Linked DNA regions of Stegostoma tigrinum. The protein of the gene in region 1 purifies or fractionates together with the protein of each later gene. This does not show direct contact. Links are inferred from orthologs where the notes say so. Each region holds a gene or a part of one and is shown in the gene's direction. Other genes may lie near its edges.

The links.
Region 2: the proteins of cdk9 (region 1) and 7SK snRNA methylphosphate capping enzyme-like purify together in Homo sapiens (affinity purification with mass spectrometry; 10 studies listed by BioGRID and IntAct, counting the BioPlex papers as one, with this or other methods). This does not show direct contact. The link is inferred for Stegostoma tigrinum from reciprocal best matches to the Homo sapiens genes CDK9 and MEPCE.
Region 3: the proteins of cdk9 (region 1) and immt purify together in Homo sapiens (affinity purification with mass spectrometry; 3 studies listed by BioGRID, with this or other methods). This does not show direct contact. The link is inferred for Stegostoma tigrinum from reciprocal best matches to the Homo sapiens genes CDK9 and IMMT.
Region 4: the proteins of cdk9 (region 1) and paf1 purify together in Homo sapiens (affinity purification with western blotting; 3 studies listed by BioGRID and IntAct, with this or other methods). This does not show direct contact. The link is inferred for Stegostoma tigrinum from reciprocal best matches to the Homo sapiens genes CDK9 and PAF1.

The regions. Positions count from the first base shown.
Region 1 is NC_081382.1:34,259,383-34,267,388, reverse strand, and holds the start of cdk9 (cyclin-dependent kinase 9), read left to right. Parts: upstream 1-4,992; 5' UTR 4,993-5,008; coding exon 5,009-5,151; intron 5,152-8,005; exon of another isoform or gene 8,006-8,006. UniProt on the Homo sapiens protein: Protein kinase involved in the regulation of transcription.
Region 2 is NC_081398.1:9,416,901-9,423,942, reverse strand, and holds the start of 7SK snRNA methylphosphate capping enzyme-like, read left to right. Parts: upstream 1-3,994; 5' UTR 3,995-4,274; coding exon 4,275-5,729; intron 5,730-7,042. UniProt on the Homo sapiens protein: S-adenosyl-L-methionine-dependent methyltransferase that adds a methylphosphate cap at the 5'-end of 7SK snRNA (7SK RNA), leading to stabilize it.
Region 3 is NC_081354.1:168,485,723-168,492,882, reverse strand, and holds the start of immt (MICOS complex subunit MIC60), read left to right. Parts: upstream 1-4,054; 5' UTR 4,055-4,246; coding exon 4,247-4,285; intron 4,286-7,160. UniProt on the Homo sapiens protein: Component of the MICOS complex, a large protein complex of the mitochondrial inner membrane that plays crucial roles in the maintenance of crista junctions, inner membrane architecture, and formation of contact sites to the outer membrane.
Region 4 is NC_081392.1:4,125,769-4,133,111, reverse strand, and holds the start of paf1 (RNA polymerase II-associated factor 1 homolog), read left to right. Parts: upstream 1-4,227; 5' UTR 4,228-4,281; coding exon 4,282-4,325; intron 4,326-7,343. UniProt on the Homo sapiens protein: Component of the PAF1 complex (PAF1C) which has multiple functions during transcription by RNA polymerase II and is implicated in regulation of development and maintenance of embryonic stem cell pluripotency.

The DNA.
Region 1 (8,006 bases):
AGGGAGGTACATCAAAAAAAACAGTGCAGAACCATTAAAGAGTCTTGAAGCTAGAATGTTTGTAGAATGAGTCACTAATTCCCTGAATAATTGACTACAATTGATTGTACAGCACTTTGTTTACTCTGGGAGCATCTGCAAAGCCAGTTCCACATTTCCCAATGAGTATATTTATGGAAATAACAGCCCCACACACTGTTACATTTCTTGTCAGCAAACCCTCTAAAAATTATGACGAATAGAGTTTTGCATCTTTGTCAATGTGAATGATGCTTAAAAGAAGCCTTGCCTGGAGTATTAACCTTGTTTCTAAGTATATTTTATGTTGGCAGCATTATTTATTGCTTGTATCCCTGGCTGCCCTGAGCTTGGTCCAGCTGAAAGGTTTATAAAATCACTTCAGAAGGTTGTTTAAGAGTAATTGCAAATTCAGCACAGGTAGTAAAAAGGAATAAGAATGGCAGGATTTTTTTTCCTTAAAGTGAGTCAGTGAATAGGTCTCTTGACCAGGATCCCATTAACAAAGCTTCCATTGAACCCATGTCCAAAGGTGGTGGTGTAAAACCCCACGCTGGAATGTTAGCACGCAGTCTCGGATGAAAATCCAGTGCAATACCTTTGCATTTCTTTTCATCGTGCATGGGAAATGTTTCAAAGTGTACCTCAGTATAGAGGTGTTGTTATAATGTTGCACTGTCTTTCCTTGAAATTCTTTGACTTGCACATCCAACAGTAGTCACTAAGTTATGGTCATAACCTCAGGGTTGGTTTAATAATATCCAGGTGAAATATCACCAGCAGCAGGTTTGGTCTATGTCCCTTTAATTACTTCATAGTCCTTTGTGGATTGGATCTGAATCTGCACATTTATCAGAGACAGCTGCAAAGTAAGAATCATTCCTTATTTTCCTTTCTACCCTATGGAATTCCCTGTATGCTATTGATCCATTTCTTTACTGTCATCTTCTAAATTATTTTTAACAGATATGTTGGACATGTTAGGAAGTACCGCTACAGCAGGTTGGACTGACCTTCTGTACCACCAGACTCCGGAACATTCCTGTTCAGTTTTGTACCAGGGACATTTCATGTGTAGGGTGAATGTGGTAATCACTAAGGTGCAGAAACAGTGATTGTTTTCATCTTCTGTACTGATTGATCATCTTGCCGTCCAATAGGGGGCAAGTGGACCTAGTAGAAAGCCCTGATAGACTCTCCCTAGTGCCTGGATCCTGGGTGCATTATGCTGCTTGCCAGAAAGGCCTTAAATGCTTTCTTGAACCTCTTCACTGACATATAAACTCTCCCCATGCCCTATTTCAGGATCAGGACTGTTTTTCTTATCTGCAAAGTGCCAACATGAATGATACTTAAAAGAAGCCTGGCCTGTAAACTTAAGGGGCAGCTCCTCAATTTCTGGTTTCACATCTTGGTCATATTCCTTGTCTTTGATGGGCAGATTGAAAGGGAGATCAGAGGTGTGTGGAAAGAAATGATGAGCCAGGGTAAAATGGGTCAAGATTGGACTGCTATGACTTTTCTTGCCGTTGTTAGACCCAATTCATGCTTGGTTGAGCATGGAATTTGATTACATGTTTTGATTGTCTATTGATTTACCTTATACCTTCTGTAACTTGGGGCCACTGAGGGACATGATTCATCCATAACATGATAACCTCACCACTCCACTGTTTATGAAAATTTATCCTCATTCGATCAAATCATGGGATGTTTATGATACACAAAGAGGCCATTTGGCTTGTTGTGTCTGAGCAGTCTATCTGCAAGAGCAGATCATAGAGTGTCAATAATCCCACCTATGACAACTTTTGCTCTACAATTTGGTATACATTTTTTTACTCATTTTTCATATAATGATCCAATTATCTTTTGAAAGGCAGATTAAATCATGTCTTCAGCACAGTCTCAAGCGCAATTCTAGATCCTAACCATTCACTGTGTGGGGAAAAGATTTTCCTTACATCTCATTGCTTCTTTTGCCAATCTCCTGAAAGCTTTTTTTTTCCTGTTTCTGGACCCTAATGGGAACAGTTACACTTAATTGATTCTGCCCTGACATCTCGAGATTTTAAACATTTCTACCATATTTCTCAATCTTCTCTTCTCTAAGGAGAAAAACTTGGCCCCTTCACTTTATCCACGTAACCAAAGTTCCTCATCCCTGGAACCATTTTCAGGAGTTTTTTTTTGCATCATCTCTTAAGTCTTTCAAGTGTTAAAACTTAAAGAGGAAGGTATAGAGGAATGTGACTAATTCAGCAGCTCCAAAAAGATTGTCACATCCTCCCTGAAGGTTTGTGTAAACAAATAGACTGCTATTCCAACTGAGGCCAAAAGCTAGTGTTTCATAAATGCTCATCACCATTTTGATCACCTTTCTCAAACTGCTTCAACACCCTCAACAACTTGTGCACATATGTCACTGGTCTCTTAGTTCCTTCAGTCATACTCAATTCTATTCTTTATTTTATGTTGCCTGCTCTTGTCTTTTCTACCAAAATACATCACATTGCACTTCTTTGCATCAAATTACACCTGTGATATATCTACTCATTCCCCACACCGACCTGGTTGTGTGCTTCTGGAGTTGAGTGCTATCCTCCTCACAATTCACAATATTTCCAAATACTGAGTTGTCCACAAATGTTGAAATTGTGTTCCACACACCAAAACCTGAGTGAGTAATATATATCAGGAATAGAAAGATCTTGAACATGAGGTAAAATTCAGGCATTGAAATGCCTTGAAATATTTCCTTATATTAACATTTCTGAGTAAAAAAAAGTTGAGTTTGGGGATATGTTAGTGTTGGTTCAGATCCAAAATAGCTCAAAATGGGAATTAATTCAGGAAATTCCAAAGATGTCCCATTATCTAACTGTAGTCATAGAGTCATACAGCACAGGAATAGATTCTTCAGTCCAACCATAATCCCCAACTAAACTAGTCCCATCTGCCAATGCTTGGCCCATCTCCCTCCAAGTATTTCTTATTCACGTACTTACCTGAGTGACCTTTAAATGTTGTAACTGTACACACATTTACCACTTCCTTTCGAAGTTCAGGGGAGGCAGTGTGGATCTTGCAGATGCTCCTGGGATTGCAGACATAATCAAAGATTTATTATAGTTTTTCTTACAGTTATTACAGTCATGATATTTTACTAGTATAAGATGTTTTATTCATTCTGTTTTATTAGAGTACAAAAAAGCCAAAAAACAAACAAATAAAATTGTGATTTTCTTTTCAAATGCACTGTTTTTAAACAAGCTTTTCTACAGTGAACAGCTGAGGTATTTTTAATTCTAAATTCAGAAATTTAAAAAAGACTATATGTGTTTTAGCGGGTGTTTTCTTTTACATTGCAGAAGTCTTTTCTTGAAAAACCAAGCAGATTTTTTTAAAAGCAAGGAGTTGTGTTTTTGTTTTGGTGAGTCCTACATATGGTTGGCTCTAGAGAAGACTTTTCTTTTCCTTTGAGCAATTTATTGAAGAGGAGTTTTTTTTATTCAGTTAATCAGCTAAATGGTTGATTTCATTTAAGTTTTATCTGTTTGTTTTTTTTCATTTTAACATTATTTTCTGGAGGTAATGAAAGATGTTTTATTTTCAGTATAAGGTGTTTCTGAAAATTCTTTTAGGCATAGTGTTATTAAGGCCTTATGTAAGGTACAGAGTGAGGTGGCTGGCAGAGTTAGAAAGGCTTTTACATGGCAGGATCTGTCAGATAGATGGGTGACTTGGGAAAGGTAAGGTAGTTTAAAAGTCTCTGGTGACTATTCCTCTATCAAATAGATATTTAGCTTTTGGAACTGTAAAAGGGGATAGTCTCACCAAGGAAGATGGAAGGGGCAGTAAGTTGTTGGGGACTTGGAATAATCCTTATGTTAGGCAACGCTTTACAAGATTTAATAGGATTATTGTAATAGAGGACTCTGCTGTCAGGGACATAGACAGGAGATTCTGTGGCAGTGAGCATAACTATAGGATGGTTTGTTGCTTTCCTTGTGCTAGGATTAAGAACAACTCCAAACATTTCAAGCCTATTAAAGGTGAGATTGAGAAGCCATAAATTATTGTACACATTGGTAGGAATGACATTTTTAGAGACAAGATTAAAGCAGTACAGAGTGAATTTAAGAGGTTAGGTAGAAGATTTTAAAAAAAGAACCTTAAAAATAGCAATTTCTGGTTTACTCTCAATGCCAAACTTAAACAAGCGAAGCAACAAAAGGCTAAGGCAATAAATCAATAACTGAAAAGCTGGTGTATTGTCCAGGGATTCAGGTTTTTGGACAATTGGAATGTCATTTAGGATAGAAAAGACCTGTTGAAAAAGAATGAGTCTAACCTGAACTGGACAGTGACCAATATCTTAACAGGGAGATTTGCTCATTCCATTAAGGGAGACTTAAGGGAGTGGAGGAATTCTAAATAGCAGCGTAAATAGAAAGATTGACAGCGAAGGTTCTGAATGCGAAGAGACCATGTCAATTAGAAAAGAGAGAATCATAGTATGTAGTAACCCTGAAAAACTAAATTGCACTTATTTCATTGAAAGGCATCTTATGGGTAAGGCTGATGAACTCAGGGCATATTTAAGAACATGAGACAGGGATATCAAAGCTACTTCTGAAACTTGGCTGAGAGATGGACAAGGCTTGGCAGCTCAATGTTCTGTGAATTAACTGAACCAAATGGTTGTAGAAACATGAAAAAGTGTAAGAAAAATGACAATGAGTCATTCTCCCTAAAATTGAGCTTTATATTTGCTGATTTCAAAATATGCATGAGAAGACAATGAAGTAGGAGTTTTCTAGGACACTGCGGGTGAACTCCGCTCCCTATTGGAACTGCTACCAGCTGCTTTTGTGGCTGGGTCGAGACAGAACGGTTGCAGCTGCACTCCCGGCCGATTGGTGCCGCTGTCTGTAGCGGATGTCGGCTACATCACAGCGTGCCGCACAGCCGGCCGCCCCGGAAGTAGATGATGGCGAGGTGCCCGGATGGTGGGATGAGTGTCAGGCTCAGCGCCGACATGATTAAACATTATGAAGCGCTGGATTTCCAGTTCTGCGACGAGGTCGGGAAGTACGAGAAGCTGGCGAAGATCGGGCAGGGCACTTTCGGGTGAGTCCGGTTTGGGAACGGGTGGGGGGAAGGGGCAAGGGAGCGCGGGGCCTGAGGACTGAGGACTGAGGACTGGATGGTAGAGAAGAAGAGGAAAGAGAGAGCGACTGGTTGGGGGAATGGGAGAGAGAATGTACAGGACTTTAGGGAAGGAAATCTGTCTTTATCTGGTCTCGCCTATATGTGAGTAATTCATTCTAACCTTATCTTCAAATGGAATCAACAAATCAAATTCGCAAAAGTGATCTGAGCTTGTTGAATGTTTTCATGACAGCCTCCTGGAAGAATATGTTGTGGAACGGAAGAGAGCATAGTTACTTGTAAATCTACGATTGTGCTTTGAGGCGGGGTTAATGAGTGGTCTCATAGTGAGAGATCCACTGTTAAGAAGATTAACTGAACTCGTCCTTACCGCTAACAACTTCTCCTTCAACTCTTCTCACTTCCTACAGACTAAGGGTATGGCCATGGGAACCCGCATGGGCCCAAGCCAGGCCCGCCTCTTCGTAAGATACGTGAGAGAGCCCCTCTTCCACAGCTACACTGGCACGAGCCCTCACCTCTTCCTCCACTACATCAGTGACTGTATCAGCACTGCTCTGAGCTCCCACAAGGAGCATGAACAGTTCATCAACTTTACAAACACCTTTCAACCCGACTTCAAGTTCAATCATAGAAGCCCTTCAGTGTGGAAACAGGCCCTTCGGCCCAACAAGTCCACACTGACCCTTGGACCATCCCCCCCCTACCCCCCACTACCCCCCCACTACCCCCCCACTACCCCCCCACTACCCCACTACCCCTACCACCCACACATCCCTGAACACTACAGGCAATTTAGCATGGACAGTTCACCTAGCCTGCACATCTTTGGGCTTTGGGAGGAAACCGATGCACATTCTCTCCGTATCTGCAAACTCCACGCAGACAGTTGCCCGACGCTGGAATTGAACCTGGGTCCCTGGCGCTGTGAGGCTGCAGTGCTCACCCCTGAACCACCATGCTGCCCTTGTTCACCTGGACCTCTGTCTCCATTTCCTATGACCACCTCGAAACTGATATCTATTTCAAGCCCACCGACTCCCACAGCTACTTAGACTACACCTCCTCTCACCCACCTTCCTGCGAGAATGCAATCCCCTGCTCCCAATTTCTCTGTCTCTGCTGTGTCTGCTCCCAAGGTTCCACTCCCAAACATCCCAGACATCCCCTTGTTTCAAGGACTGCAACGCTTCTTCTCCCCACCCCCAAGTGGTCGAAAATGCTGTTGAATACATCTTTTGTGTTTCCTGCAACTCAGCTGTCATATCCCCTCCCTGCAACAAAAACAAAGACAGAATCCCCCTTGTCCTCATGTATCATCCCATTAAACCTCCAGATTTAACGTGTCATTCTCCGCCACTTCCACCACCTGCAATCTGACCCCACAACCAAGGATATATTTCCCTCACCACCCCTATCTGCCTTCCGTAGGGACCACTCTGTCCGTGATTCCCTCATCTGCTCCACACTCCCAACTAGGTCCACCACCCCCAGCTCGTTTCCCTGCAAACGTAGGAAGTGCTACACCTACTCCCTCACCTCCATCCAAGGAACCAAAGAAAACTTTCACATAAGATCGAGGCTCACCTGCATATCCGCCAACATGGTCTACTGCATCCGCTGCAGCTTCCTCTGCATTGGTGAGACCGAGCAGAGGCTCGGAGACCACTTTGTAGAACACCTGTGCTCTGCTCACGACAAACGATACCACCTTTCAGTTTCAGCTCCCACTCCCACTCCATAGATGACATGTCCATTTTGGACCTCCTCCAGTATCACAGTGACACCACCCGGAAACTGGAAGACCCGCACCTCATATTCTGCCTTGGGAGCCTACAACCGAATGGCCTAAATCTGGACTTTTACTAGTTTCAAAGTCTCCCCACCCACTGCCTCATCCCACCTTCAACCCGCCTTATTGACCTGACACAATCTGTCCATCTTCTCTCCCATCTACCTGCTCCTCCTGCTACCCCCTACCTGATCTCACCTATCATATCCCGTCTACCTTCCCAGCACCCCCCCATCTCTATTTATTTCTGAGCTCCCTTCCTCTTCCCCCATTTCTGAAGAAAGGTCCTGACTCGAAACGTGAACTTTCCTGCCCGACCTGCTGTGCTTGTCCAGCTCTACATTGTCCTATCTCTGACTCTAGCATTGGCTGTTCTTACTATCGCTGTTAAAATGTGCTCATCATACACTTAATTTTCATATTAAAATTTAGCATGATATCTCAAAATAAGGATATTAAACAGGGCCAGTTTAGAAGATGAGCTGACTAGGGTTGATTGGGTGGACTAAAAGCTTTGGTAGTAAATGACTAGTGGGAAATCTTTATATAAAATCATTTAAAATTTTTGACAAAAATACTTTCTACCAAAAATAGAAACAAGGCTAGAAAGATCCACTTGCCACTTACTGGGGAAATGAGGATGGTAATAAATAAAAGAAGCCTTTAAGATTGCAAAAGATTGTTCTAATTGATTGTTTCAGAAACCAGAGAAAATCAGCAAATAAGTTGATAGAAGAAAAAGTAGCTTAGGAATAAACTAGTTGGGAATATAAAGACAGATTTTGACAGCATTTACAATTATATCAACAGGAGATCAGTGTTATGATCCCAGCTAATGGAGATAAAGTAGAATGTTCCAAGCCATCTACCTACAGTGCAAATTCAAAGATCTTTAGTCACAATAAAGTATTATCCCTTTAATACTAAACACAAAAATAAAAAAGAAACAAAACTGCTTTTGTATAGTACCCAAAATGCACTTCTGATATCGTCCCAAGTGGCTGCTCGCACAATACTTACT
Region 2 (7,042 bases), on another chromosome or scaffold:
AGAACTTTTGCACATGGGCCGCAGGCTGCTGACCAGCACTTCCTCAAAGACAACGAGAGATGGGCAAAAAGATGCTGGCCTCACCAGCAACACCCACTTCCAGCGAATTAATAATTTTCTAACTTGGTTTTACACCGTCTCTAGTGGCAGGAGCATCGGAAACCGGCGCGGGGTGGGGGGGGGGCAGATATTTGGAAATAATTACCAAAGAAATTAAGGACAATAGGTGAGAAAATTCCTTCTTTTTATGCAAGCAAATTGTTGTGATCTGGAACGCATTGCCAGAAAAGGAAATAGAGAAGATTCAATACTTTTGTCCATGGTGTCTACCATCACCTTTAACTCTCGAGGTGAGAGCAAGGAGTCAGCTCCTAAATCTACTTGATCTAAACTGGGAATCAATCTAAACCATGCGCTAAAAATCTAGCCAATTTAGCTAAACAGCCCCCGCAGTGGTTTTGTTACTGAATTTATAAGATATATAGAATCCCTATGGTGTGGAAGCAGGCCATTTGGCCCATCACGTCCACACCGACCCTTCAAAGAGCATACCACCCAGACCCAGCCTATTCCTATAACAGGCAGCTCCGTGGTTAGCACTGCTGCCTCACAGTGCCGGGCTCCTGGGCTCAATTCCACGCTCGGGTGGCCGTCTATGTGGAGTTTAGACATTTTCCCCATGTCTGTGTGTGTCCTCCGGGTGCCCTGGTTTCCTCTCACAGTCCAAATATGTGCAGGCTAAGTGGATTTAAAACATAGAACATAGAAAAGTACAGCACAGTACATTTGCCAGGGAAAATTGTCCATAGTGTTGAGGGATGTGTAGATTAGTTGGATTAAAGGAGGATGGGCCTAGGTAGGATCCTCTGAGAATCGGTGTGGACTTGTTGGCATGAAGGGCCTGTTTCCGCATTCTAGGGATTCTATAAAAAATGTGCATTTCCCATGGCGAACCCACCTCGACCACACTCAACACTCTGGACACTATGGGCAACTTAGCATGGCCAATTCACCTTTGGATTGTGGGAGGAAACTGCAGCATCCAGAGGGAACCCATGCAGATACAGGAAAAACATGCAAACTCCACATAGACAGTCACCAGAGGGTGGAATTGAACCTGGGTCACTAATGCTGTGAGGCAGCAGTGCTAACCACAGAATCACCATGCCACCCCAATAATCTCACGACTCGATAAAATCCCACATGAAGAAATTCCAATTTAATCACTCGGGATTAAAATTAGTCACAGGCCGAGCATAAAACTGCTGAATGAAGGGCTCTTGTAGTGTGCATTGGTAGTGACCCCACCTCCAAGTTCAATTCCCAACTACTCCAGAGATTTGTCATAACATGTCTGAACAGGTTGATTAAAATAACCATAACTTTGGAACTCGTTAAAAAAACTCATCTCATTCACTAAGTACGATCACCACAGTGACTGCAAAGGTTTGACAAAGCAGTTTTCATAACCTTTCATGTTCTCAAGGGGATCAACAGACAGTCAGAGAATATTAGCTTTCTTTGTGTTGCCAATTTCCTGAGAAAGAATTTAAAGGAAAAGACTTGTATGTATATGGTACTCTTCACAGCTCATGGTACTTTGCAGCCAATTAAGTACATTAGTCTTTGCGTAATACAAGAAATAGTTTTAACCCATCACAAGTACCATCCAGAACAAATTGTATGAGAAATCCTCCAGCAGCAACTTCCCTCCAAGCTCCATACCACCGTGACTTGGAAATATGTTGTTGTTCCTTCACTGTCGCTGGGTCGAGAATGATATTCCCAGCCCCACATCACTGTCGATGTATCTACAATGTGTGGAGTGAATTTTTAATAAACTTTCAGGGGTGCATCTGAGGCCAGGTTTTGTTGCCCATCTCCAATTGGCCCCAAGTAGAGTGGCTTGATTGACCACTTCAAAGGGCAGTTAAAGAGTCAATCAGATGTTGTCGGCCTGGAGACAGTCAGGGAAGTTAGAGAAGATAAGATTTATACCCTATCTGTCATTGAGTTATACAGCATGGAAAGAGGCCCTTTGGCACATTGCATCTGGGATAATGATCAATCATCCATCTATTCAAATCCCATTTTCAAGCACTTGGACATGCTCATGCAAATAGTTCTTAAATATCTTGAGGGTTCCTGCCTCTACCACCCTGCCTCAGTGAGTTCCAGACATTCTCTACTGTCTAGGAGAAACTTTTATTCCCCAAATCCCTGCTGTGAGTTCCCTTCCAGCGGCCAGCTTTTAGAAACAGAGTAGTTCAGCCAGAGGCTGGGAAATAGACCCAATGTGGCTTTGTTTCTAGTAGGTGAATGCCCAGTGTTTGGAGGTGAGGAGTTTTGTGGGGGGTGGGGTGAGGAGACGGTTGGGGAGAAGGAAATGAGGGGAGATGGGAAGAGAGAGACGGAGGAGAAATGTGTAGGAAGGGGAGTTGGGGAGGATATGTGGGAGATAGGGATAAAGAGATAGAGGAAATAGGAAGAGGGAAGGGGGAAAGAGATGGTGGGATCAGAGATGGGGGTGGGGAGTGGGTAAGAGGAGTTAGAGATGGTGGGATGTGAGAGTTGTGGGAACACGGTTGGGGGTGGTCAGGTAGGTGGGATGTTGACGGGGAGAGACAGTGGGAGGATATTGGGGGCAAGGTTGAAAGATGGGCGGGGGGGACCGCAAGTAGGGGTTAAACGGGGACGGAGGGAGATGAAGGGGTGGGGAGAGGCGTGGAAGTGGAAGGAAACTACAACTCCCATCGGGCACCGCTTCGGGCCACTGTCACGTGATCGCCCCCAACGGATGTCGAGTCGAGCGCCAACCGACAAAAAGACGACGTGAGAGCCCCAGGGCGTCGAACGGAATTTTTTTCTCTAACGATTTCTTCCAACTTCCCCCCTCCACCCCCTCCCAGCAGCCGGCGGGCCTGGCTCTGAGGGTGTCCGCACCCCCGTGAAGTAAACGCCGAGCCTGTGAGACGGCCCCGGTTCCCGTTTGAGAAGTCGGGTTTGTTTTTCGCCGCGCGGAAGGAGGGAGGCGAGCCGCGGCCGGCGCCTGAATGATGGCGGGGAGGGGAAACAAAAACAACACTCCACATCGGGGACGGACGATTGAAAACCCCCGTACACACCATCAGCCCTCCCTCCCTCAGACGACGGCGGGGATTAACCTTGCGTCCCCGCCTTAACAGAACAAGCTTGAGGACTCTCCCTGTCTACTGGGGCTGGGAAACACGTCGAACCAAAACTCAGATGTTACATATTAATTATTATACCTTATTTCTGTTTTTTTAAAAAACAATCTATTTTTTTCCGTCGGTGAGGACGGACGCCTAGGCGGCCCTCCCCTCCCCCACAACCTCCGTGTCCCGCCTTCCAGCGGTTGTGGGGGGAGGGGCGGGGCTAAGGGTGGCTGAAGTCCCGCCCATCCCTTGTATCCGGATTGGCCGGGGCCGGGAAGAGGTTCGCCGCGCGACGCGCTCCCCTTCTGGCCGATTGGTGGGGACGGATGTCTATCAGCCGAGGGGCGGTCCAGCTTGGTTATAAAAGGAGACGCAAGCGCACTGTGAGGGGAGAAAGGGGGGGGAGGGGACAGGGAAAGGGAGAGAGAGGAAAAAAAATAGCGAGTGCGCCTTAGCAGCTCCAAGGGGTGGTGAGCGAGGAAAGGGGGGGGTTTTGAAAAAAAGTGATTTTAATTTTCTTTTAAATAAGTGGGTGGGGGGTGGAGTTCGAAGCGAAAGGGAAGAGGGGGGTGGTGGTGTGAAAAGCAACCGTGTGACTTCCACCGAATGAATAAGCACGGTTCGTCGCTTGCGGATATATTTCCGCTTTAAGTTCCACAAACTTGACAATCGAGGGCTTTAAAGTTGCCATTTTGGATTTTTCGGTCAGGTGGAGGATAGAAAGGACTGGGTTTAGCGGGGGAGGGGTAGAAGCGGGAGTCGATAAACAAAACCCGTGAAGGTTGGTGGTGAGGGGGTGTGGGGGGGAGGGGGTGAGTTGATTGTTCGCTAAGGTCCCAGAATATGAATAATTCATTTATGTTGATGAGACGCGCTGACGTCACGGGCGACGTGGGATTCCGTTAGAGTGCGTAACGGCGACGTCGTGCACTGGTTGCAACTTGGGTGGGGGGAGGGGGAAGGGCTGACTCAGCCCCTGGTGCTTGGGAAGTTGCTGCTGCACTGGGCAAACGGGGGCGCTATCACAGGAGAGAGAGCCAGGCCGACCCACACGCCAGCAACCACCCCCTGTGGCCAAGAGGCTCCCCATGCCGTCTGATGGCGGCGTCGGTCGAGGAAGATTCTGTCAGGGAGGTGACCCTCCTGAAGCCCGAGTACCTGTCTGCCATGGGGGTCGAGGAGCTACACCGCCACCCGGGCAGGGTGCTGACGCCCGTCAGTGAGGAGGTTGCCCTGTCCCCTGGTGCCAAAGATGAGGTTGACAGCGTGGCGGAGCTGAGCCGGCCAAGGAATGGGCTCCAGCCCTTGCAGCAGCAGAGGGCCTTCAAACGGAGGAATAGCTTGAACGTAGGCTTCAAGCACCCCGGGTTCAAGAGGAGGCGCCGCGTCAACTCAGACTGTGACCCGGTGCTGCCCAGCAATTTCCTGCTGGGCGGTAACATCTTTGACCCGCTCAACCTCAACAGCCTGCTGGACGAGGACGTCAACAAGGCTCTTAACGCTGAGACCCCCAAGTCCTCGCCTCTGCCCAGCCGGAACCGCGACCCGGTAGAGATCCTCATCCCCAAGGACATCACCGACCCGCTCAACCTCAACAATGACTCCGAGGTCCTGCCATCGCCCCTCAAGTTGGGCCGCAAGAGGCGACACCGTCATTACCACCACCAGCCTGGCCAGCAACCCCAGTCTGCCACCGCCACCGAATCAGCGGAGAGGAACCAAGTTCTCCCACTGGACCCAAGCTCCCGGGACTGCCTTGTGGGTCAGAACCCAGCAGGAACAAGCGTGGGGCCGGGGTCCTCCGAGGTGCCAACTGAGCCTGAGGGCCCCCAGCCCTACGAGCTCAACACCCTCATTAACTGCAGGGACGAGATTGTGTCACCTGTCCTCCGTGGCTCCGAGCAAGCCCCAACTGGAAGCCGGCATCGCAAGCGGCGCCGGACCGCCAGCAAGTCCGAGCTGGGCAAGATCCCGACCAGCTCGGAGGAAGAGCCGAGGCTGCCAGGTGCGGATGCCAAGAAGCCAATGCCAGAGAAGGCAAAAGGCAAGGCATCTCACCACCACCATCACCAACACCACCAGCAGCAACACAGCTTCCAGCGCCACTCTAGCCTGCACCGTGATGGCAAGGCCCAGCCCAACTTCCAGAGCAAACAGAAGCGGTTCCAGTATGGCAACTACACCAAGTACTACGGCTACCGTAACCCAGGCCGCTGTGAGGACCCCCGGCTCAGCTTCTTCAAGCCTGAGTGGTTCCAGGGCAAGGACATCTTGGACCTGGGCTGCAACGCGGGCCACCTGACGCTCAGCATCGCCAAAGACTTGAAGCCCTCGCGCATTGTGGGCATCGACATTGACGGTAGCCTCATCCACACGGCCCGACAGAACATCCGCCATTTCCTGTCGCAGGACATGCTGCCGTCGCAGGGCGATGGGCAGGTGAAGAGGCGCTTCCCGCTGTCGCTGACCAAGTGTAAGGGCCCAATCGCTGCCCCACCCGTGGCTGTGGATCGCTGTGTGGCTGAGTTCCCCAATAACGTCACTTTCATCCAGGTGAGTGCATCTGGTATGCTTTTTGTGGAGAAGGGAGTTTCACCTTGGCTACTAATCTTGTAAATTAAACATTTGGCGTTGCAAAAAAGTCCCAAATGACCCCTTGAACCAAACTCCATAGATTAGGGGCACTCAAACGCCATCCGGGGGGCACACCTTCAGTAGATGGCTGTTTACAACCTTAACAGTTGCTTTGTGTTTGTGGAAATGTAAAGATTTTTGGTGTTATCTTGACAATGCACGCATTCTTGAAGCACGCATTACTTTGCAAGTAGGACGTGTAAACAACTTCTTCCCCCCCCCCACCCCCGGCTGTGAATGTTAAGACATGAGAGCATTTCAGGTTTTGTAACCTTGCCCAGGGAGTGCTCCAAACGAAGAGGGCTTTTAAAAGTTTCTCATTCCTGTTGCAGAATGGCTCAGGGCCATTACATGCCTTCAGAACATTCAACTGAGTGTCTGTGAAACTGCGTTTGTGGGTTTTTGAGTCACTTTTAAAATGCTGCTTCTAGCAAAACGACGTTTAGCGTGAGTGTATGTTCCGCCTTTTATTTTAAGCTGACCCTATGTCTTATCAAGTTTTTGTGTCTGCAGCCAGCTGTTCAGCTTTACTAATTTGAAATGGTGGCTACACATGTCTTCTGTATGGTGTACTTGTTGAGTTTGGGGCTGTGGCCTATTCCTGTCCTGCTCTTTCCCCTCTGCGTGAGATTTCCTTGCACTGAAAATCCTGTCACTCGGCATGTTTCTGGTTTGCCCACGAGGAGGTGCCCCTTGTACTGAGCAATCGTTCGTTTCTTTGACTTATGATTTTCACTTCTGGGGTCGAATTGATGAACTTTTATGATTTCAAAACTAAACCCTCGACCACCACCACCCACCACCTGCACTCTCTTTTTTGGGAAAATGAAGTCAACGGATCGCGATAATGCGATTGATGCATTTTAATTTTGAAATTCCTGTTCCTAGTGCCTCCTGCAAACATTGATCTAACAAAGAACTGTAAAAGCCGCTGGAAGTGTGTAACAGATGCAGAAATGCTCAAGAAAATCCTACGGAATAGCATTACACTCTATTTGCAATCAGTTGGTCCAAATGATGAACATTTCTCTTCACATGCAGCGCACCTTTTATCAACCAGTGTCTATGGGACCAGGAGTGTGCTAGTTGATAAAATATTCTGGATAATCGAGAAGTCCACATAATCATTGTAGAAGCATCCACTAAGTAATGGAAACGTGATGCAGGGGGTGTGCATGTCACTGTGAGACTTTAATTACAGCATAAATCAATAATAATGATGCACCTTTGCC
Region 3 (7,160 bases), on another chromosome or scaffold:
CATCACAGAAGTAGGACTGACTCATCCGTAATTCCCAGGATTATCTCTATTCCCTTTCTTGAACAAGGGAATAACATTTGCCACCCTCCAATCATCTGGTAGTACTCCAGTAGACAGTGAGGACGAAAAGATCATTGCCAAAAGCACAGCAATCTCTTCCCTCGCTTCCCATATCAACCTTTGGTATGTACCATCAGGCCCAGGGGACTTATCTATCCTCATATTTTTCAAAATTTCTAGCACATCCTCCTTCCTAACATCAACCTGTCCAAGCATATCAGCTTATTTCGTGCTGGCATCACAAACTACAAGGTCCCTCTCACTGGTGAATACTGAAGCAAAATATTCATTAAGGACCTCCCCTACCTCCTCTGACTCCATGCACAAGTTCCCTCCACTGTCCCTTTGGCCATCCTCTTGTTCCTCACATAAGTATAGAATGCCTTGGGGTTTTCCTTAATCCTATCCACAAAAGCTTTTTCATACCCTGTTCTAGCTGTCCTAAGTCCATTCTTCAGTTCCTTCCTGGCTACCTTGTAAACCTCTAGAGCCCTGTCTGATCCTTGATTTCTCAACGTTAAGTAAGCTTCTTTCTTCTTCTTGACTAGATGTTCCACATGTCTTGCCCTCCTTTCCTTGCCTCAGTGGGACAAACCTCTCCAGTACCTGTAGCAACTGCTCCCTAAACAACCTCCACATTTCTGTTGTGTATTTCCCTGAGAACATCTGTTCCCAATTTATGCTCCACAGTTCTTGCCTAATAGCATTGTAATTCCCCTTCTCCCAATTAAATACTTTCCCATACCGTCTGCTCCTGTCCCTCTCCATGACTATAGTAAAGGTCAGGGAGTTGTGATCACTATCACTGAAATGCTCTTCCACCGAGAGATTTGACACCTAGCTTGGTTTGTTGCCAAGCAATAAATCCAAAATAGCCTCCCCTCTAGTTGGCCTATCTACATATGGAGTCAGAAATCCTTCCTGGACACACCTGACAAAGTCTGCTCCATCTAAACCATTTGCACTTGGAGGTTCCAGTTGATATTAGGGAAGTTGAAGTCACCCATGACAACATCCCTCTTACTTCTGCACCTTTCCAAAATCTGCCTCTCAATCTGTTCCTCAGTGTCTCTGTTGCTATTGGGGTGTCTATCGAAAACTCCCAATAAAGTGACTGCTTCTTTCCTGTTTCTGATTTTCACCCATACTGACTCAGTAGACAAACCCTCTTCGATGATCTCCCTTTCTGCAGCTGTGATACCATACTTGATTAGCAATGCCACACCCCAACCTCTTTTATCTCCATCCCTATTTCTTTTGCAACATCTAAACCCCGGAACATCCAACAGCCATTCCTGCCCTTGTGTTATCCATGTATCTGTAATGGCCACAACATCGTACCTCCAATGACAGGTATTGATGGAGGTGATCATGAGAATATCTTCCACATAGCAGACATGTCTAATACAGGAGGCACATGTTTATGGCAAGAAGTAAACAGCTTAGGAGAGATCTGAGAATTTTTTTCACCCAGAGGATGCTAGAAATATGGAACATGCTGCCTCAGAGGATGGTGGCACACAACATTTAAGAAGCATCGGGGTGAGTTCTTAAATGCCAGGGCATAGTAGGAACTGAGTGCAAGTAAATGGGATTAGTGTAGTTTGAGTTTTGATGTTTAGTATAGCCAGGTTGGACTGAAGGGCCTGTATGTATGACAAATCACTTTATAGGCAATGAATAATTGAAAATAGGTTGCTTTCAGCACAGCCAACATATTTCAAGACAGGACCTGGGGTTTGAAAATAGGTAATAGACAAGAAAGGGGGTGTTCAGGTTCCAAAACTGTTCAACTTGATGTAGGGTGCCTTAGCAGAGCTGAGGTGTTATTCCTCAAGTGTTGAGCTTTGCTGGAGCACTGCCACAGGCCTGATACAGAAATGTTGGTATGGGAACATGGTGGTGTATTAAAGTGGCAGGCAATTGGAAGCTCCTGGTCATTTTTGTGTTTTGTTGTGAAGGTGGGGGAGACAATAGTGTAGTGGTATAATCACCAAACTATTAATCCAGAGACACAAGTAATGTTCAGGGACCTGGGTTCACACCTTATCACAGCAAATTGTGGAATTGAATTCAATAAAAAGCAAAACTGGCATTAAGATTTTAATGATGGCTATGAAACCATTGTTACTTGACAGGAAAAACTCATCTAGATGCCCTTAAAGGAAGGAAACTGTTGTCCTTGATAATAAAATGTGAGGCTGGATGAACACAGCAGGCCAAGCAGCATCCTGAGATGCTGCTTGGCCTGCTGTGTTCATCCAGCCTCACATTTTATTATCTTGGAATTCTCCAGCATCTGCAGTTCCCATTATCTCTGAAACTGTTGTCCTTATCTGCTTAAATATGACTCCTGACCCAGAACAATGTGATGCCCTCTTAACTGCCCTCTGGTCTAGCGTGCTCTTATAAGCTGCTTTGTGGGCCTTTTTTGGTCTTTATATTTGTCCAATTCTGTGGAATCTGTACTTTCTATGTGTTTTTATAAGCCCCTTTTAATTTTATGTTGCTCCTTACCTCCTTAACTGTCCATGGTTGTGTTTTTTTTAATGAGGTGTAGCTTTTCCTTTATACGCATATAAATTGCTTCTGAATTGCAGTAAATGTTTCTTTGAATGCCTTCCTCTGTTCTTTGGCTGTTTTACGTAGTAACAGAACTTCCCACTTCACTGTGGATAGTCTCTGCCACATCCCTTTAAAATCTATCTTATGTAAATCCAAAATTCTAGTATCCAATCTTTGCTTATCTCTTACAAACACTACATGAAACTCAAATGTGTTATGATCACTATTTGGCAAATGCTCACGAACAACCAGGCCACTAATTAAATGAGACTCATTTCTTGTTACTAGATTCAATATTGTTTGTTCCATTGTTGCATCCAAGACATATTGACATAGGATACTATCTCAAAACTATCTCGAAATTCACAACCTTTCTGGCAGGTGCTTGTCTGTCTCTCCCAGTCTATCTTGATCAAAGTCCCACACTAATACTACTCTGCCTTTGCTACATAGTTGCCAAATTTGAATATTTATACAATCTAGCACTTCTGAGCTGCTATCAAGTGATCTATATATGACACCTATTGTAGCTTTAGTTCCTTTAGGGTTCCTCAGTTCTTTTCATTTTTTTGTTCTATATTCATCTATGGGATGTTGGGTTCACTGGTGGGCTAGCATTTACTGACCATCCCTAGTTGCCTTTGAGGAGGTGGTCAGAAGCAACCCATACTGATCTTACCAGCATCCAGCCCTTATCCATTAGTCTGAGCATCATTTATTTTATTTCCCTGGATGTGAGAAGCAAGGGTGAAGCGGAATTTATCAAAACTTACTAAGCACACGTGGATAAGTGCTGGAATAATCTTAAAAGGGGTAGGGAAAAATTGTCAGAGCATTGGGATTGAATGGATATGGCTCTTCGAGTGAGGTGGCATTGGAATGCATGCCAAAGGGACAGATTTAGTACAGAATCTGAAAAATTAAGTACCACAGAGGGCTATTACGACTGGGTTATTAAATGTATTCGTGGCTGAGATAAATTTTCATCAGCAACGGAATCAAGGGTTATGAGGATAAAGCAGGAAAGTGGAATTGAGGATTATCTGATCAGCAGAGAAACTTGATGAGCTCAAAGGCCTACTTCTTCTGGGTCTTATGGCTTTATTTCTGTGCTATAAAATTATCCCTAGGGGTTTTCGTGGAGGTAGATAGCATCCCAGAGTGCACTGTATGAGGGGAGGGTAAGTGGATGATGATTCTCAATGGGCAAATCACTCGTCAGATTGAAGGGTTAGAGAGAGAAAGATATACATCTTCCTTGAGAAAGTGTAACTTGAACTCGGGCTTACTCGCTCCGAGGTCGAGATACTAGCACTGCACCACAAGAGCCCTGAAAGAGAAAGTGCCTTCAGCAGCTATCAAGGTTGGTTGTGCACGACGCCAAGACCAAGTTAGACAGAGCAGCGGGGGCGGGCGCGTGCGCGTTGGTGTGGCGCAGCCTCGATCGTACGGAAAGCGGTCAACACGGTCACTCCCGCCTCACAGCGAGGGAGTAAGGTGTTGGGCTGCACATTAGTCTCTAATTGTCTATGTTTTTTGTAAAAAAAAATGTTCTGATCCGGTACAGCGGAGTACTTTTCTTCATCGAAGAACATAAAACCATCGAAGAGTTTAAGGGAAAATGTTGAGGGCTTCATGGAAAGTAGCTCCGCCGCTGAAGGTAGGAAAGACCGGGCGAGACGGACCGATTCTGACATTAAACAGGCCTGACAGAAGATATTTCCTTTTGTTGCTGTCTCTAGAGTGGCCTTGCCTAGGTTCACCGCTTCCGTTCGACGGTGAACCATTGACCACAGAGAGAAACGGGCTGGTTTTGGGGTGTGGGGAGAGGAGCTAGAATCAGGCCGTTAGTTCAACCTACCTCAGTTGTCCGGGTGAGGTGGCGATTGACGTGAGTTTGCACCAATCGGCAGAGGAGTTACAGACTACCGGCCAATCAGCAATGAAAAGGCGGGTGGTGGCCCGGGGAGAAATCAAGCTCGGTTGAGCAACCATGACACGAGTGGGAAATGCAGGTTTCTTGATGGGGAAAAAAGAGGAAAAGCCAGACTTTATTTATCGCTTAAATTAAAGACGCATTTGCTGTCGTACGTCTTTTATTCTCTTCCCACCCCCTTAATCTGGTGACGAAGAGGAACGCGAGACTCTTAAATGTTATCTGATTTTTACAGAGAAAACGACGTGACCTTGTCCATGAATATAGTAACGTCTTGTATAGTGACCAGGAAAAAGCATGAGCCCATTTTGTTTTAAGACTTTTCAGTTCCTGATTTCCCATGTACTGCAATATATTAGTTTAATATGTGAAATCACGGATCTCAGAATGCCAAAGCATTCTTCAAAGAGTTTGGAAATCTACTGAATATATTTCAGAGTAATGGTATTTTCTTTGAAAGCTATTTCTTTTGTGAATTGAAGACTGAGACCTACATTGAAAATATTATGTGTAGGACAAGTCAAATCAGCACATGGCTTCGGTAAAGCTTTTGTTTAAAGGTATTTACATTGTTTCCCTCCTTCCACAATGTTTAGCCTTATCACTGTTGTTCTTAATGTAATTCTCTTATGTGCAGCAGAGAAAAAATGATAATAATGTACCATCAGTGTAACATTAGTCTAATTGTGAAGTTGACTTTTGCCTAATGGGCCAGAGTAAATTGAATATGCCTGGTGATCGATGGGATTTTCAATAAGGGCTGTTGTGGTGTGGTGGTAGTGCCTCTACTTCTGGGCCAGAAAGTTTGAGTTCAAGTAGTACTTGGCACAGCATTGTGTCATAACATGTCCAACAATGTTGATTAAAACAATAGTCATAAATGGTCTACATAAGTAACCATGTAAGTAATGTTCCTAAAGTAAAATACTGCAAATGCAATTGGCCTGAAAACGGCAAAGGCTGGGAAAACGCAACAGGTCTGTGGAGGTACGGTTAAGTTTTCAGGATGTGAGGAACAAACTATCACTTCAAGTTTAATTTATATTTTGTATTTTTTGATAGGAAGTTTTAGTTTCATTGTGAGGGTTTTGTGGGCTTTGTACCTGGAAATTTGGCAGCCTTTTTCTATACATCCATTTGTGATGTGGTTTTACAATCTTTACAGTGAACAGATGGGGGATTGGTTGTTCAATGCATTTGTTTTAAAAAAAAGACAAAAATTGTCCTCCAGCAATAAGGTTTCAGGTTGTGGTAGAAATTGGAAACAGGAATATTAAATACTCTAGTAAGCAATCCTGCAGCACTGCTGACAACTGAGTTTACAGAAACTCCAATTTCTGTAGATAGTATTTAGTTTACAATTTATTTAGGTGTTTCGGTAGGGATACTATCTGCAGAAAAGCATCAACAGAATGCCCTGGAATTTACCAGAAGGAAACAGGTTGCAGTTGTGCCAGTTTGCACAAGCAGTCAAGCATGGAGATGGTGGTGAATCTTTGAGATTTGCCATTGCTGGAATAAAAAGAATATTGTAAATGCAGAGTAATTTTGATGTTACTGAAACTTTTGTGGAATGTTATTTAGTGTTGTATGGTTTGTTACTCCCTTGTTAAATGTACACTTGTGAAAGTGTTCAGTGCTGGACCTCCACTTTCTAAACAAAAAGAACAAAGTTAGGATCTCAAGCTACATTTTCCTCTGGAATCTGACTTTTTAACATGTTAACATTGCAGGATCATAACAGGGTTGACTTTTCTTCAGAAATGAGAAGAAATAGACTTGAGTTTTTAAGCTGATAATGTTTCATACTTTGCAGTTGGTGCCATGTACATTGCATGGTTTGGATTTGTAATTTGAATCTGCAATACAAAATGATCACACTTACTTTGTATAGTTCTTAGTTCTATCAAGTGGATGTAGATATTTTTCAGAGCATTAATTAATTACAACATTAGTTGTTTGTACCATCTGTCTTTGTCTGTCTTCCGTAATTACGACTGTGCCTGGGTGTCCTTGGAGGAGGAGCATGCGGTGTTGGCTGACACATTTGAAGCTTTGTGCAACCTGTGAAAGTCTGTGAGATTCTTAGAAGACGTGACAACATAGATACTGCAAGGTTGTTTCCCATTTTGCAAGAGTCTACAACCGGAGGGCAAAATTTCAGTGAAGGATCACCCATTTAATAAAAATGCGGAGGAATTTCTGATGGGCGTTGTGAATCCGGTATTGTGGTTGGCTGGCTTGCCGAGCTGGTTCGTTGTTCCAAAGATGTTTCATTACCCTGCTGGGTAACACCATCAGTGCAGCCCCCGATGAAGCGCCTGGTGTGTTTGTCCCACTTGGTTTTTAAACTCTGGAGTCGGTTGAGCTGGATTGCCTCACTTTCGGTTTGCTTTCGTAGTGGAGTGTATATGGGGTCGAGTTCTGTGTGTTTATTGATGGCTTTCTTCGTGGAGTACCAGGCTTCCAGGAATTCCCCTGCCTGTCTCTGCTTAGCTTGTCCCAGGATTTTGGTGTTGTCCCAGTCAAATTGGTGGTTCTCCTTATCCATGTGGATAGAGATGACTGGGTATTAGTCGTGTCTTTTTGTAGCCAGTTG
Region 4 (7,343 bases), on another chromosome or scaffold:
CCTTTGATTCCTTCAGTCCTAAAAGTTAAATCTATCTGCTTCTTGGAAACATTCAATGCTTTGGCCTCAACAGCTTTTTGTGGCAGAGAATTCCACAGGCTCGACATCTCAGTCCTAAATAGCCTACTCCATATCCTTAGATTGTGACCCTGGTCTCCCCAGGAACATCCTCCCTGCATTTATCCTGTCTAGTCCTGGTAGAATGTTAGGGGTTTCTATGAGATCCCTCACACTATTTTTCTAAATTCCAGTGAATATAGCCCTAATCAATCCGATCTCTCTTTATACGTAGGTATGAGGCAGTAATGGGTCTTGACAATTCACCTCCCACTATCTGGCTAGCTAACACTGAACCATTAGGGAGATGAAAGATGTTCTTCCATATTGAGAGGCAGTACTACAGGGGACCTAACAAGGAAGTCAAAGGAGTCTGTCAGGACAAGCCAGGGTTTACATTTGATATGGATGTAAATTAATCTTCTCCCACCACCCTTAGCACTTAGGTTCCAGAAAATAGGCCCAGGTGAAAGCAAAAATGCAATATATGTTTGAAAACCGTCTAACCAAACTCAGGGAGGATGGCTGGCATTCCCCAGTTGTATTCATGCCCGAGCTTGTTGGATCAACTGGATTTTACATAGATGCAGAAAGGTCAATGCAGTGCCTTATACCCAATTCCTGATCTGGAACATTGTACTGATAGAATCGGCAGTGGAGGATTATTTACCAAAACAGTTCTGCTCCACTAATACTGGGATATCCCATTAACACCAAGAAGTAAAGGTACGTAGGCCTTGACACCCAGCCTTTTCCTTTGTCGAGAGGTGCTACAGGAACGATAGAAAGGGGGGTAAGAGAGGAAGCGAAGTAGCGTTTTTGATTAGGGATAACATTATGGCTGTACTAAGGAAGGATATTCCTGGAAATATATCCAGGGAGGTTATTTGGGTGAACTGAGAAATAAGAAAGGAATGAACACCTTGCTGGGATTGTACTATAGACCCCCACCCCCCCAACAGTCAGCAGGAAATTGAGAAACAAATTTTTAGGGAGGTCTCAGTTATCTGTAAGAATAACAGGGTGGTTATGGTAGGGGATTATAACTTTCCAAACATAGACTGGGACTGCCATAGTGTTAGAGAAGTTGCAAAACTTGACCTACTCTTGGGAAATAAGGCAGGGCAGGACAGGGGTGTCAGTGGGGGAGCACTTTGGGGATAATGGCCATAATTCTACTAGTTTTAAATTGTGATGGAAAAGGATAGACTGGATCTAAAAGTTCTGAACTGGAGGGAGGTTAATTTTGACTCTTTTGGCAAGAACTTTCAAAAGTTAATTAGGGGCAGATATTCGCAGGAAAAGGGATGGCTGGAAAATGGGAAGCCTTCAAAAATGAGATAACAAGAGTCCAAAGACAGTGTGTTCCTGCTAGAGTGAAGGGCAAGGCAGGTAGGTGTAGGGAATGGCTGGATGACCAGAGAAATTCAGGTTGTGGTCAAAAAGAAAATGGAATCCTATGTCAGATATAGACAGCAGGGATTGAGTGAATCCTTAGAAGAGTTTAAAGGCAGTGGAAGGGAAATCAGGAGGGTGAAAAGGAGACATGAGTTAGCTTTGGCAAATAGGGTTAAGGAGAATCCAAAGGGATTCTACAAATACATTAAGGAACAGCGAGTAACTAGGGAAAGAAGAGGGCCCCTTAACGATCAGCAAAGCCACCTATGTGTGGAACTGCAGGAGATTGGGGGGAATACTAAATGTGTATTTTGCATCAGTGGATGTCTTAAAATGCATATAGGTGGATAAATCCCCAGGATGTGATCAGATGTACCTTAGAACCCTGTGGGAAGCTCAGAATACAGGGAGAACTAGCCATTTGGATATAGAACTGGCTTGAAGGTAGAAGACAGAGGGTAGGTGGTCGAAGATTGCCTTTCAAGATAACAAAGTGTAGAGCTGGATGAACACAGCAGGCCAAGCAGCATCTTAGGAGCACAAAAGCTGACGTTTCAGGCCTAGACCCTTAATCAGAAAAGGGGGATAGGGAGAGATGCTGCTTGGCCTGCTGTCTTCATCCAGCTCCACACTTTGTTATCTCGGATTCTCCAGCATCTGCAGTTCCCATTATCTCTGAAGATTGCCTTTCAGACTGGAGGCCTGTGACCAGCAGTGTGACACAAGGATCGGTGCTGGGTCCACTGCTTTTTGTCACTTGTATAAATGATTTGGATGTGAACATAGGAGGTATGGTTAGTTTACAGATGACACCAAAGTTGGAGGTGTATTGAACACCAAAGGAGGTTACCTCTGAGTGCAAGGGGACCTTGATCAGGTGGGCCAATGGGCCGAGGAGTGTCACGTGAAGTTTAATTTAGATAAATGTGAGGTGCAGCTTTTGGACAAACAAATCGGGGCAGGACTTATACACTTAATGGTAAGGTCCTGGGTAGTGTTGCTGAACAAAGAGACCCTGGAATGCAGGTTCATAGTTCCTTGAAAGTTGAGTCGGAGGTAGACAGGGTAGTGAAGAAGGGGTTTGGTGTGCTTGCCTTTATTGGTCAGTGCATTGAGTATAGGAGTTAGGATGTCATGTTTTGGCTGTACAGAACATTGGTTGAGGAACTGCAGATGCTGGAGAATCTGAGATAACAAGGTGTAGAGCTGGATGAACACAGCAGGCCAAGCAGCATCAGAGGAGCAGGAAGGTTGACATTTCATTTTCTGAAGAAGGGTCTAGGCCCGAAACACCAGCTTTCCTGCTCCTCTGATGCTGCTTGGCCTGTTGTATTCATCCAGCTCCACACCTTGTTATCTCAGGACATTGGTTGGGCCACTTTTGGAATACTGCTTGCAATTTTGGTCTCCCTGCTATAGGAAGGATGTTGTAAAGCTTGAAAGGGTGCAGAAAAGATTTACAAGGATGTTCCCAGAGTTGGAGGGTTTGTGCTATAGGAAGAGATTGAATGAGCTGAGGCAATTTTCACAGGAGCATCGGGGCTGAGAGGTGACCTTATAGAGGTTTATAAAATCATGAGGTGCATGGATAGGGTACATGGACAAGGTCTTTTCCCTGATGTTGGGGGGGTCTAAAACTAAAGGGCATAGGTTTAACATGACAGGTGAATGATTTAAAGGCACCTAAGGAGCAACATTTTCAAGCAGAGGATGATGCGTATATGGAACAAGCTGCCAGAGGAAGTGGTGGAGGCTGGTACAATTACAACATTTAAAAAGCATTTGAATGGGTATATGAATAGGAAGGGTTTCGAGTGATATGGGCCAAATGCTGGCAAATGGGGTTAGATTCTTTTCAGATATCTGGTTGGCATGGTCGAGAGGGACAGAAGGGTCTCTTTCCATGCTGAACATCTCCATGACTCTGTGACTCTGAGTGGTAGGCAGTGTTCCTAACTGTGTGGCTTACCTTGATGAAGTCCTGCTACACAATGACATTTGGAAAGACTACTTGGAATAACTAGAACCTCTATTTAGAAAATTAGAGGTTGATTTGATGATGAACCTTGATAAAGTGAATTTGCAAAAAATGTAAGTAACTTACATGGGCATATGGCAGGGCAATGACAAATGCTGTCACAAACAGCAAAAGTACACATGTTGGAATGGTTCCATGTCCCTAAGACTAATTGGAAATTCAAGAGGTTTTATGGGGATATGTAGTTTCTACCATGAGATTGTATAAAATTTCAACACTATAGTAGCTCTACTGATGGATTTGTTGAAAAACCAAGAAAAAATACAATCAGTTGGTCAGAGGAGTGCCAAACACCTTTTGAGAGGCTGGAAACAATTCTGATCAATGAGCCATTGAACTGACTACTAAGCTGTTCAGTGCCGGGAGAGGGTGGGGGTTAGTGCCTAGGGAGTAGGGGATGTTGCCCAGACAGGGTGGAGGTCAGTGCCTGGCGAGTAGGGGACAGTGCACGGAGGGAGTGGGGCTCAGTGCCTGGAGAGGGTGGGGGTTAGTGCCTAGGGAGTAGGGGATGTTGCCCAGACAGGGTGGAGGTCAGTGCCTAGGGAGTAGGGGACAGTGCCGCAGAGAGTGCCGTCAGTGCCCGGAGAAGGTGGGGTCAGTGCAATGAGTGGGTGGGGTTTAGTGCCTGGGAGGGCCAGCGTCAGCGTCTCGGGGCGGGGTTAGAGCGGTGAGGGGTGGGATCAGCTTGGACGAGCCTGCCGCAGTGGTCTGTGGGTACGGCGTGGAGCGTTGTGGGAGCTGTAGTCCTAGGCCTCCTGATCCCAGCATTCACAGCGCGGCGTGCGGCCATGGCGCCGACAATCCAGAACGCGCAGCGGGACGACGGGCACCGGTAAGTCAGGTGAAGGAGGGCACGGAGAGAATCGTGTTGCATTTATATAAAAGTATAAACTGTTACTTTCGTGATCGCAGATGCCTATTCCTTAAACTCAGTTTTCTCATTTTCGGCTTTGGTCTCAGCCCGATCAACAGATCAACAAGCGGGCACCCACTGGGTCCTAGTGCCCGTTCAGCCTTACGGCGACTGAGCACCAAAGAGAGAGCACCCATTGGGTCCTAGTGCCCCCTGAGACTTCTGGCTAGTGGACCATCAAAAGGGAGCACGCTGGGTCCTAGTGCTCTCCCTGTTTCCTAGGCAACTGATCACCAAGAGGGAAATAAAAACAGAAGTTGTTGGAAAAGCTCAGCAGGTCTGGCAGCATCTGTGAAGAAAAAATCAGAGTAAATGTTTCAGGTTTCGTGACCCTTCCTCAGAAGTCCCAAGAGGGAAATCACTGGGTCATAGTGGATATCCGGTAAGATGCTTCTGAGACCACCAACAGATAAATTAATTTCGAAGGTTTTGGGGTAGATTTGTAGCTCGGGTTGTCGGTATTGAGGTTGGTTGGCTCGCCAAGCTGGTTTCTTGTTTTGCAGACGTTTTGTTACCATGCTGGATAACTTCCTCAGTGCAGCCTCCAATGAAGCATCGGTGTGCACTGACACAACTCAATCCACATGGACGAGGAGAACCATCATTTTGACTGAGATTGCTCCAAGACCCTGGGACAAGCCAGGCAGAGACAGGCATGAGAATTCCTAGAAACCTGGCACTCTACGAAGTGTGCTATTAATAACCATATTGAACTCAACCCCATATACATTCCACTGGAAAGGAAAACCGGAAGCAAGGCAATCCATCTCAATGGACTCCAGAGTTTAAAAACCAGGTGGGAAGTCGACGTTTTTGTCAGAGGCTGCACTGAGGATGATACACAACATGGTAATGAAACAGAGATAATGGGAACTGCAGATGCTGGAGAATCCAAGATAACAAAGTGTGGAGCTGGATGAACACAGCAGGCCAAGCAGCATCTTAGGAGCACAAAAGCTGACATTTCCGGCCTAGACCCTTCATCAGAAAAGGTGGATGGTGAGAGGATTCTGAAATAAATAGGGAGAGAGGAGGACGCGGACCGAAGATGGATAGAGGAGAAGATAGGTGTAGAGTATAGGTGGGGAGGTAGGGAGGGTACAGGCCAGTCCGGGGAGGACAGACAAGTCAAGGGAACGGGATAAGGTTAGTAGGTAGGAAATGGAGGTGCGGCTTGAGGTGGGAGGAGGGGATAGGTGAGATGAAGAACAGGTTAGGGAGGCGGGAATGAGTTGGGCTGGTTTTGGGATGTACTGGCGTGAGGGGGCATTTTGAAGCAGATGAAATCGACATTGATACCATTGGGCTGCAGGGTTCCCAAGCAGAATGAGTTGCTGTTCCTGCAACCTACGGGTGGCATCAGGATGGGCATGTCGTCTGAGGAATGGGAGGGGGGGAAGTTGAAATGGTTCGCGACTGGGAGGTGTAGTTGTTTATTGCGCACCGAGCGTAAGTGTTCTGCAAAGCGGTCCCCAATGTAGAGGAAGCCACATCAGGTACAGCAGATGCAGTAGACCACATTGGTGGATGTGCTGGTGAACATCTGCTTGATATGGAAAGTCGTCTTGGGGCCTGGGATGGGGGTGAGGGAGGAGGTGTAGGGCAAGTGTATCACTTCCTGCGGTTGCAGGGGAAAGTGCCTGGTGTGGTGGGGTTGGAGGGGAGTGTGGAGCAGACAAGGGAGTCGCGGAGAGAGTGGTCTCTCCGGAAGGCAGACAAGGGTGGGGATGGAAAAATGTCTTGGGTGGTGGGGTTGGATTGTAGATGGCGGAAGTATCGGCGGATGATGCGTTGTATCCGGAGGTTGGTGGGATGGTATGTGAGGACTAGGAGGATTCACTTTTGGTGGTTCTTGCAGGGGTGGGGTGTGAGGGATGTGTTGTGGGAAATGCGGGAGACATGGTCGAGAGCGTTGTCAACCACTGCGGGGGGGAAGTTGCAGACCTTGAAGAAAAAGGACATCTGGGATGTACGGGAGTGGAATATCTCCGACCATCTCCAACACATCCCTCACCTTCCTGGACCTCTCTGTCTCCATCTCAGGCAAACACCTACAAACCGATATCCATTTCAAGCCCACTGACTCCCACAGCTACCTGGAATACACCACCTCCCATCCACCTTCCTGCAAAAATTCCATCCCCTATTCCCAATTCCTTTGCCTCCACTGCCTCTGCTGCCAGGATGAGGCATTCCACTCACATACATCCCAGATGTCCTAGTTCTTCAAAGATCGCAACTTCCCCCCACAGTGGTTGACAACGCTCTCGACCATGTCTCCTGCATTTCCCGCAAGTCATCCCTCACACCCCACCCCTGCAATAACCACCAAAAGACAATGCCCCTAGTCCTCACATACCATCCCACCAACCTCCGAATACAACACATCATCCTTCGATACTTACGCCATCTACAATCCAACCCCACCACTAAAGACATTTTTCCAACCCCACCCTTGTCTGCCTTCCGGAGAGACCACTCTCTCCGCGACTCCCTTGTCTGCTCCTCACTTCCCTCCAACCCCACCACGCCCGGCACATTCCCCTGCAACCGCAGGAAGTGCTACACCTGCCCCCACACCTCCTCCCTCACCCCCATCCCAGGCCCCAAGATGACCTTCCACATCAAGCAGATGTTCACCTGCACATCTGCCAGTGTGGTATACTGCATCCGCTGTACCCGGTGTGGCTCCCTCTACATTGGGGAAATCAACGGAGGCTTGGGGACCACTTTGCAGAACACCTATGCTCGGTTCACAATAAACAACTGTACCTCCCAGTCGCGAACCATTTCAACTCCGCCTCCCATTCCTCAGACGACATGCCCATCCTGGGCCTCCTGCAGTGCCATAATGATGCCACCCGTAGATTGCAGGAACAGCAACTCATATTCTGCTTGGGAACCCTGCAGCCCAATGGTGTCAATGTGGATTTCACC